Arabidopsis thaliana: one gene and its partner. The protein of the gene in region 1 interacts with the protein of each later gene in a pairwise test. Each region holds a gene or a part of one and is shown in the gene's direction. Other genes may lie near its edges.

The links. Proteins that work in one complex are often made in the same cells at the same time.
Region 2: the proteins of RFI2 (region 1) and ZFP3 interact in binary tests that used the Arabidopsis thaliana proteins (3 or more experiments, as listed by UniProt).

What each region holds. Positions count from the first base shown.
Region 1 is NC_003071.7:19,551,810-19,556,629, reverse strand, and holds RFI2 (RING/U-box superfamily protein), read left to right. Parts: upstream 1-1,982; 5' UTR 1,983-2,278; coding exon 2,279-2,471; intron 2,472-2,844; coding exon 2,845-3,017; intron 3,018-3,138; coding exon 3,139-3,197; intron 3,198-3,304; coding exon 3,305-3,330; intron 3,331-3,419; coding exon 3,420-3,708; coding exon of another isoform or gene 3,709-3,787; coding exon 3,788-4,124; 3' UTR 4,125-4,316; downstream 4,317-4,820. Other genes in the region: AT2G47720 (uncharacterized protein), read right to left, coding at 1-6; AT2G47710 (Adenine nucleotide alpha hydrolases-like superfamily protein), read left to right, coding at 674-857, 960-1,054, 1,292-1,413, 1,498-1,585; AT2G47690 (NADH-ubiquinone oxidoreductase-like protein), read right to left, coding at 4,578-4,679. UniProt on the Arabidopsis thaliana protein: Mediates phytochrome (phyA and phyB)-controlled seedling deetiolation responses such as hypocotyl elongation in response to red and far-red light. Required for light-induced expression of LHCB3 and CHALCONE SYNTHASE (CHS).
Region 2 is NC_003076.8:8,685,511-8,688,953, forward strand, and holds ZFP3 (zinc finger protein 3), read left to right. Parts: upstream 1-1,677; 5' UTR 1,678-2,013; coding exon 2,014-2,721; 3' UTR 2,722-2,905; downstream 2,906-3,443. UniProt on the Arabidopsis thaliana protein: Acts as a negative regulator of abscisic acid (ABA) signaling during germination and early seedling development. Involved in the regulation of vegetative development and fertility. Modulates red light signaling in seedling photomorphogenesis.

The sequences.
Region 1 (4,820 bases):
GGCCATGGGAATCTGAAGATTCTGGAGAAATCTGAAATCAGATAAAAAAAGGTAAAGAGTAGCGTCAAGACGAAGAAGAATATAACTAAAAGCAATTTGGTTAGAGAGGTTTCTGTCGCACTCCTGCTTTTGCTTCACGTCGTCATATTATTCTACAGCCGGCCGTCTCATTTTTATTTTGTAATTGTTATCATCTGAGCCGGATTTTACCCAACTCAAATCATTCCACTATTTGAAATTAGATTTTTCTTGTAATAGTTAATTTCCAAGTAAAATCGAAAGTTATCAAACCAATTCATATCAGTTTGTTACTAAAAAGCTAATAACTGTTAACCTGCAAAATCCTTTTATGTACTTTGTTTTATGGGTAATATTCAAATTAGAATAAATTTTGTGTAAAATCTGTGGGTTCTTCTTATTTAAAATCTGTGGGTAACTTTAAATATTGGGAAATTTACTAATGGAAAGGCATAAAGAAATGAGGACCAGCCACGTCATCAAATCAAAGTATCACATTCCTCTTTTCTTTTTATTTAAAGAAATTAAATAATAGAAGAAGAAGATACCAAAACTCTCTTTTTCTGTGCAAACACTTTGGAGGATTCTTCTAGGCTTCTTTCTACCACAAACACAAGAGCGCGTTTTCTTCACGCCGGCGAACAACGTCAGAGTCATGGCCACCGGAGATGGGAAATCGGTGATGGTCGTCGGAGTTGACGACAGCGAGCAGAGCACTTACGCCTTGGAGTGGACGCTCGATCGTTTCTTCGCTCCTTACGCTCCCAATTATCCTTTTAAGCTCTTCATCGTCCACGCCAAACCTAACGCCGTCTCCGCCGTTGGTCTCGCTGGTCCCGGTACGCTCTTTGCTTTCACTCTCGAATCTACTCTTCTAGGGGTTCTGTTTTGGGCAGCGATGGGGAGAGATCATTTAGGTTTTGTTAATCTGTGTGTTTTAGGAACTGCGGAGGTTGTACCTTATGTTGATGCTGATCTGAAGCATACCGCTGCTAAGGTTGTCGAGAAAGCCAAAGCAATTTGTCAGAGCAGATCGGTACGATCTTGCTATTATCAAACATTCAAATTCGTTTTATGTGTTTCTTGGATTTTATAATCGTCATCATGTGTTGTATTGGACTCTATTAGATGAGTTTGGTAATGTGAATGTGAATCTCTAGCACATTTAAGAGCTTCAAGCTAAGTAGCACTGGTTTTTCTTATAGTAACTATCTATCTTTGGTTAGCAACTATCTTCTTCTTTTCAATCATCATTCCTAGGTTTGTTGTGTAGGTTCATGGCGCGGTGATCGAAGTTTTCGAAGGTGATGCAAGGAATATCCTATGTGAAGTTGTAGATAAGCATCATGCTTCTATTCTTGTTGTGGGAAGCCATGGATATGGAGCTATCAAGAGGTATTATTTCATTCAGCCTTAATTCTTATGATCAATCTTTCAACTATACACCCATTCTGATTCACTTGTCGGTTTGTGTGGCAGGGCGGTTCTCGGGAGTACGAGTGACTACTGCGCTCATCATGCTCATTGCTCGGTGATGATCGTGAAGAAGCCTAAGATCAAGGTCTGAAACCTAAGGGAAGGCTACTCGGTCAAAGCAAAGTCTCTGCATAGTCTTCTAATTCAGAAGAATAAAGTGAAATAATATTAGCTTGATGTGAAACAACGATTCAAGACAATATACATTTGCATCTATATGTGTAATTGTTTACTACATACAATGTTTTGGTATCCTTAGACAATCAATATTCGTGTGTTATAATATGCTAATCTTTCTCATAACAAAATGGATGTGAAAGTTATAATAAACTTCATATGAAAGAGACTAGAGAAGAAAACAAATCAACTAAATAGAGATTAATGATTTAAATGAACAAATTTATAGTTTGGTTGTTGGTTCAGATGGATGGATGGTTTGATGATCATCTATCCAAAACTAAAGTAATAAAATAATAATAAAAAATTATCCACAATGGGAGAGGAAAGAAAAGAAAAGGGAGAGTCCAATGTCATTGTCCGGTTTTGAACCACGTCATCTCTAACAGGTCGGACGAGAGAGAGAGAGAGAGAGAGAGGAAGAGGAAGGATAGATTTACCGCATCGGCGTTCCAAAAGGCAGACGAACTCGGAGAGACAGATAGCGATAGCGAGACATGGTTTCTCATTGATTTTTGTTTGACAATCCTTTCTTTTCTTTTTTTTTGTTCTTTCGAAAAACGAAAATTTTCGTTGGTTCCCTCCGATTTGGCCTGCTGGTGAAGATATGGCCGGAGCTAAAGATTCGGGTTGCGATGATGATCTCCGAATTGCTGGTGGATGTGACCCTGGAAAACGCGGGAACCCGGAGGATTCCTCGTCTCCTGTCGAAGTCTCGTGCTCGATTTGCCTCGAATCGGTGCTCGATGATGGTACCAGATCCAAGGCTAAGCTCCAATGTGGTCACCAGTTCCATTTGGGTATTTCATTCCCTTCCTCCATCTCTTACCATTTTGCGTTCCCTCCATCACAGTTTGATGATCCGATGGCTTTTTGCTTGTACAAGCTTTTGTGCAATTATCTGATGGTAGATTTGGACGATAATTGAATGAATTTGAGAATATAGATGGATTCCTAATCCCTTGCTTTGTTTACAAGCTTAGATTGCCACGACTCTGCAGTTGGTTGATCCTAGAAATGATCGAGTTCTGACAAATGTGTGTCGTAACTTGTGAATCGGTTTCTTCTCTTGTGTAGATATAGAATGAGGCTTGCTAGTTCTATTATCTGGCTGCTGAATTTGTTGCTATTTTCGGCTTTCCCTTTAGCAGCTTGTTTTTTGGTTTCTTGCAGATTGCATTGGATCAGCATTTAACATGAAAGGAGCCATGCAATGCCCTAACTGTCGCAATGTCGAAAAGGGTCAGTGGTTGTATGCAAACGGTTCTACTCGCCCCTTTCCAGAGTTTTCCATGGAAGATTGGATCCCTGAAGAAGACTTGTACGGTTTAAGCTATCCGGAAATGGTAAAAGCTCACTACTTTGTGCAACGATATGCTTTCTTTTCGTGTACATGAGAACTGTGCTTTTATCATATAACCTCCTTATGAGAGATCGCTTATCCTGACATTTTTACGGGGTTTGCAGCAATATCGGGTCCATTGGTGCCCGTTTGGTGAACTCTCTCAAGCAGCAGCTTCTTTCGAGTAAGCCTACAACACCTTTACCATGGTTTTTGCTATTATCTCTCTTTTCTAAGGCTTTTGATCCTTCAAACGCGAAAGCTAGAATTGACTTTTGCTCTGTGTTTCAGGGAACTGGAACCTGCAACCACTACATGTAAGTTAGACGCTGATTGTTCTGTATATAATCATTTCATTTTGTCTAGCAATCCGTTTATAATGTCAAAACCCATATTTCTTCCTTAGATCATACTGAGTTCCATGGACATCACGCCGCTGCTGTGAATCATTCGTATCTTGCATATGTTGGACCTGGCCCAGCCGCTACCCCGAGAACTAGCGACAATAACAGCACAGATGATCATCCCTGGAACAGCCACTCTAACGATCACTTTCACCAGCTTCCTGTTGCCCCCCAGTATCATCACCATTCCCCATCGTTTTCACTACCCGCTGCTCATGTGGTTGATGGTGAAGTTGACTCTTCAGCAGCACGAGGCCTACCTTATGCGCATCCATTTCTTTTTAGTCACCGGTTAGCTTCTCAAACTCCCTATTGCTCTCAACTTCTTGCAGAGTGTTTTACAATATTCTTTTGGAATTGGGCATTGTAGGTCTAATCAAAGGTCCTCACCAGCAATTAACAGTTACCAAGGAAGCAGCACCCAAATGCGTGAACAGCATCATGCTTATAATCATCAGAGGCAACAACATCATGCCAATGGTCCCACTCTCGCATCACCTCTCATCTCCATGACAAGAAGGGGATTACCGCCGCCGCCACCTCCCCCACCAATGCCAGATCAGAACGTTGGATTCTTCATTTATCCAGGTGGACACCATGAACCAGAAACCGATCAAATTCATGCATGGGAGAGAGATTGGTTCCCACATTTCCCTGTCCCATCGAATCATCGCACGATCCCTAGCTTGTGGCATAGACACTTCTGAGAGAAGTTGTGTCAGAACTCTACAGTCGCCTGGGAGAATTCTATCAGGCTTAATGATCAATGTATAAAAGAAAACTGGGGACTTGTTTGATCGATCAAAACTTGTTTATGATGTAACTATAACTGGTTTCCAATGTACATTGTGAGCTTTCCAAGAACAATTGTTATAATTAATTAAACACAAGTTATCGACAAAATGTTGCCATTGTTCCTGGTTGGATGGAGTAATAGTGAAGAAGTAAATGATCCACAATCCACATGTCCATAATTCAGGTGGAAAAGTATACGTCTCAAAGAGACGATTTAACATAAAAAGAAAGCAGAACATGATTGGATAAAATTGAAAACTGAAAAACAATCAAAGCGTTTAGAGATTCCAAGATACAAAATCTTCCATGAACCTTTTATTATTCTTCTCTGGAATCGGATGAAGCTTGAAGGAGGATTGTTGAGACTAGTGATGGTTGTGAGTCCCATCTCCGGCTTCTTCACCTTTCCTCGAAGCTGCTCTTAGTTTACGCTGCTCCTCCTTGTATATCCTGTTCCTTCTTTGAAACTGCAACAACAGGTACACAACACATAAAAACTTAAACTTACAGCATCTTCATTCAAAGTAAAGAAACCACTGGTGTCAATCGTAATGTTCTAAGAGAGCCGTGTAATTGCAGAAGAAACAGTTGTAACATGTACAGAGATG
Region 2 (3,443 bases), on another chromosome or scaffold:
AACACTTAGATGAACCCGGTTAGTGGTTAATACTTTTACTATATGATACTTAATTACTTACCGATAGCATTGACAGATTAAAAAATACACAAAAGCTTTGTCAAACAAAGAGATTTGAAAGACGAATCAAATCTCTCTACATACAGGGAAAATTATGAATAGCTACATGTCACCATCTGTTTAAAGTAAGATCCAATGTTCTCATCTGTATCTTTTGACTATGATTGATGACTATGTGACCTATATCATATAAATACAACGTGGTAAATTGTTATACTCATTAAGCTACCATAGTCCATAATACACTTTAATTTCCCAATTCACGATTTCACATTACTCACTAATCTAACATTTTATGATCAATCTATTGAGTATTGAGGATTGATGAAACAAAGAACGAAGGTATACTTAAATGGAGATGTCATATAACTCAGAAAGAACTTCACATATACATTTATTAAAGGAAAATTAGTTTTCTTATGAAAATAATTAGCCATTAATTAGAAACTGAAAACTCTTAATTAGCTTTTTCCCATTTTTGTGTCGGCCATATGTAACGTTGGACCCATCAACTAGGTCACAATTGGCATACGACAAATATACATAACTTTAAACCATTAGATCTTTTCTCTTTCATTACAAGCTAAAGTAATTCAAATTTAGCTAAATAAATTTAAACTAAAACTTTGGAAATGTGGTTTAGATTGTTATCAAAAGCTTAAGTGGGTTTGATCTTGCCGATGTGGCTTCCAAAAGAAAAGTATTAATTGGTTGAAGAAAGTGACTTTTGTCATGCAACCTAGTTGTATGTCATGATGTGAAATTAAGTGGGAAACCAAAATTCATATTGACAAATCCACTAAACTCTTTAGATGATAAAGTAGAAGAGCGTGTGGAAGTTTCAAATATCATTTCCTTTAAGATTACACAACAAGAGAAAGGTTGATCCATCATAAAGACGAAATATTCTTTAAGTCATATACATGGTCTACAATTTCTCACTAAGATACAAAGTAAAATCGATAAATATAATAATGAACGTACGAGTGGTTTCCAAGTTGTTCTAACCAGGTGCTTTGTCAAGATCATCGATCTATATTCTTACCCGAAATACTTACTTAACTATTATTACAAAGTTCGAATAACCAGTTCTTTTACTTTGTGATTAGTTTGAGCTTTGGTTTGACTCAATAGAAGACAAAAGAAAGAATAGATGAAGGAGAGGACCACACGAGAAGCCAAAGGAGACAGAAATGGTCACTTACCTCGTGGAGTTATACAAAAGTAGACATAAACAGACCTGAACAAATTTGGATGGTCCATGAACAGTACTCTTCCTTTTCAATTTTTATTGTCATCTTTCTCTTCTGTCATTTCATCATGATGTACTTACTATTTTGAGAAACTGCTTCGTTTTCCATTGTCTTTTCGATCCCTTAACTTCTTTTAGAAAATGTTCATACTTAAAATATTAAAGGATTCCTTAACATGCACTACAAAAAAAAAATTATTATGGATTGTGGATTACCAATGGTATAGTACTCATTTGGTTTACTTAGATATTTGGTCATTCATAAACTGAAAATCTAGAAACCCAAATAAATCTGAACCGGAATCAAAGCGAAATTTAAATTCTACACACTTAATGTATTTGTTGGACTATTGAAGGAGGAAGCAGCCAAAAAGGGTAAGAGTCATATATATAGATAGAGGTATTTAGATGGTGGAGTTCCAATCAACTAGCTTTAAAGTGTTTTGTGAGAAGGGTGTGACAGCAAACCAAACCTACCTATCGCTCTCATCATAGTACTTTGGTCCACTTATTACAAAACCCTAAGAAAATGTTCTAGTGTAGGGTCTTTGTTTCCTTTGTCTATTCCTTTCTAATACCATCTACTTCTGCTCCCATTCACTGATATAAACCTCTTCTCATAGCTATTATTGATAGAAAGAGACAGAGAAAGAGAAAGAAAAAAATCATCTCCTGAAAAAATCTATCCCTTTTTAGCTCTCATGGACGCTTCAATAGTTTCCTCATCCACTGCTTTTCCATATCAAGATTCTCTAAACCAGAGCATCGAAGACGAAGAAAGAGACGTTCATAATTCTAGTCACGAACTCAATCTCATCGACTGCATAGACGACACAACGAGTATCGTTAACGAATCTACAACATCCACAGAACAAAAGCTTTTCTCATGCAACTATTGTCAAAGAACTTTCTATAGCTCACAAGCACTTGGTGGTCACCAAAACGCACACAAGAGAGAGAGAACGTTGGCGAAGAGAGGACAACGTATGGCAGCGTCAGCCTCAGCTTTTGGACATCCTTACGGTTTCTCTCCACTTCCTTTCCACGGACAGTACAACAACCATAGGTCTTTAGGGATCCAAGCGCATTCGATAAGCCACAAGCTAAGTTCTTATAACGGGTTTGGTGGTCACTATGGTCAGATCAACTGGTCAAGACTTCCATTTGATCAACAACCAGCCATAGGTAAATTTCCCTCAATGGATAATTTTCATCATCATCATCATCAGATGATGATGATGGCTCCTTCAGTAAATTCACGGTCCAATAACATCGATAGCCCAAGCAACACAGGACGGGTTCTAGAAGGGTCACCGACTCTTGAACAATGGCACGGAGACAAAGGATTGTTGTTAAGTACAAGTCATCATGAAGAGCAGCAGAAACTTGACTTGTCCCTCAAGCTTTGAGATTCTTTTTCTTGATTCTTGAATTTAGTGTCTTTTTACTGTTTTTTCATGTGATTGTTAGTACTATTTTGTGTATATTTTTTTCTAGTAAAGATAATCTAATGTACATCTTTTTCACATATCTACTTTAGTCTGAGATTTGTAAACTATTAACTATACATTAATGGATTTCAAGTAGACATCCAACAACCGTATAAAGTATAGAGTAAAGGAAAAAAGAGAAGAAAAGTGAATATTGAGATCTGTGGGAAGATTTGATTTCAGAGTCACAAGAAAAAGGAATTAATATTATAATTCAAAGTTAGGTTACCTAAAAGTTAGAACAATCATTCTATTTGTTTAAAAGTTGCTAATAAGACATTTAAACAGAACAAAACAGATAGAAATAAACTATGAAGACAGTTGCTGTGTAGGATGATTGTGACACTAAAAGCAAAAGAGTACTAGAAGAAAAATTAAACACAATATCAAATACAATTCTTTGGTAGTATATACCAAAATACATGTAACGTTAAATAAACTAATAAAGCATCCAATGGGGTTCTCTTTGTTAGAGATTATTAGAAGGGCATCACATTGCTCCATATGTAAGAAAACATTAAAAGACAAAACTTGTCATAGATGTTGCTATCATCACTTCACGCGTGTTTTCGACAAATGGTCGAAACAGTATTCACCAAATAACCAAGAACTTCTCTCGACTAGCTAATCGACAAACCAAT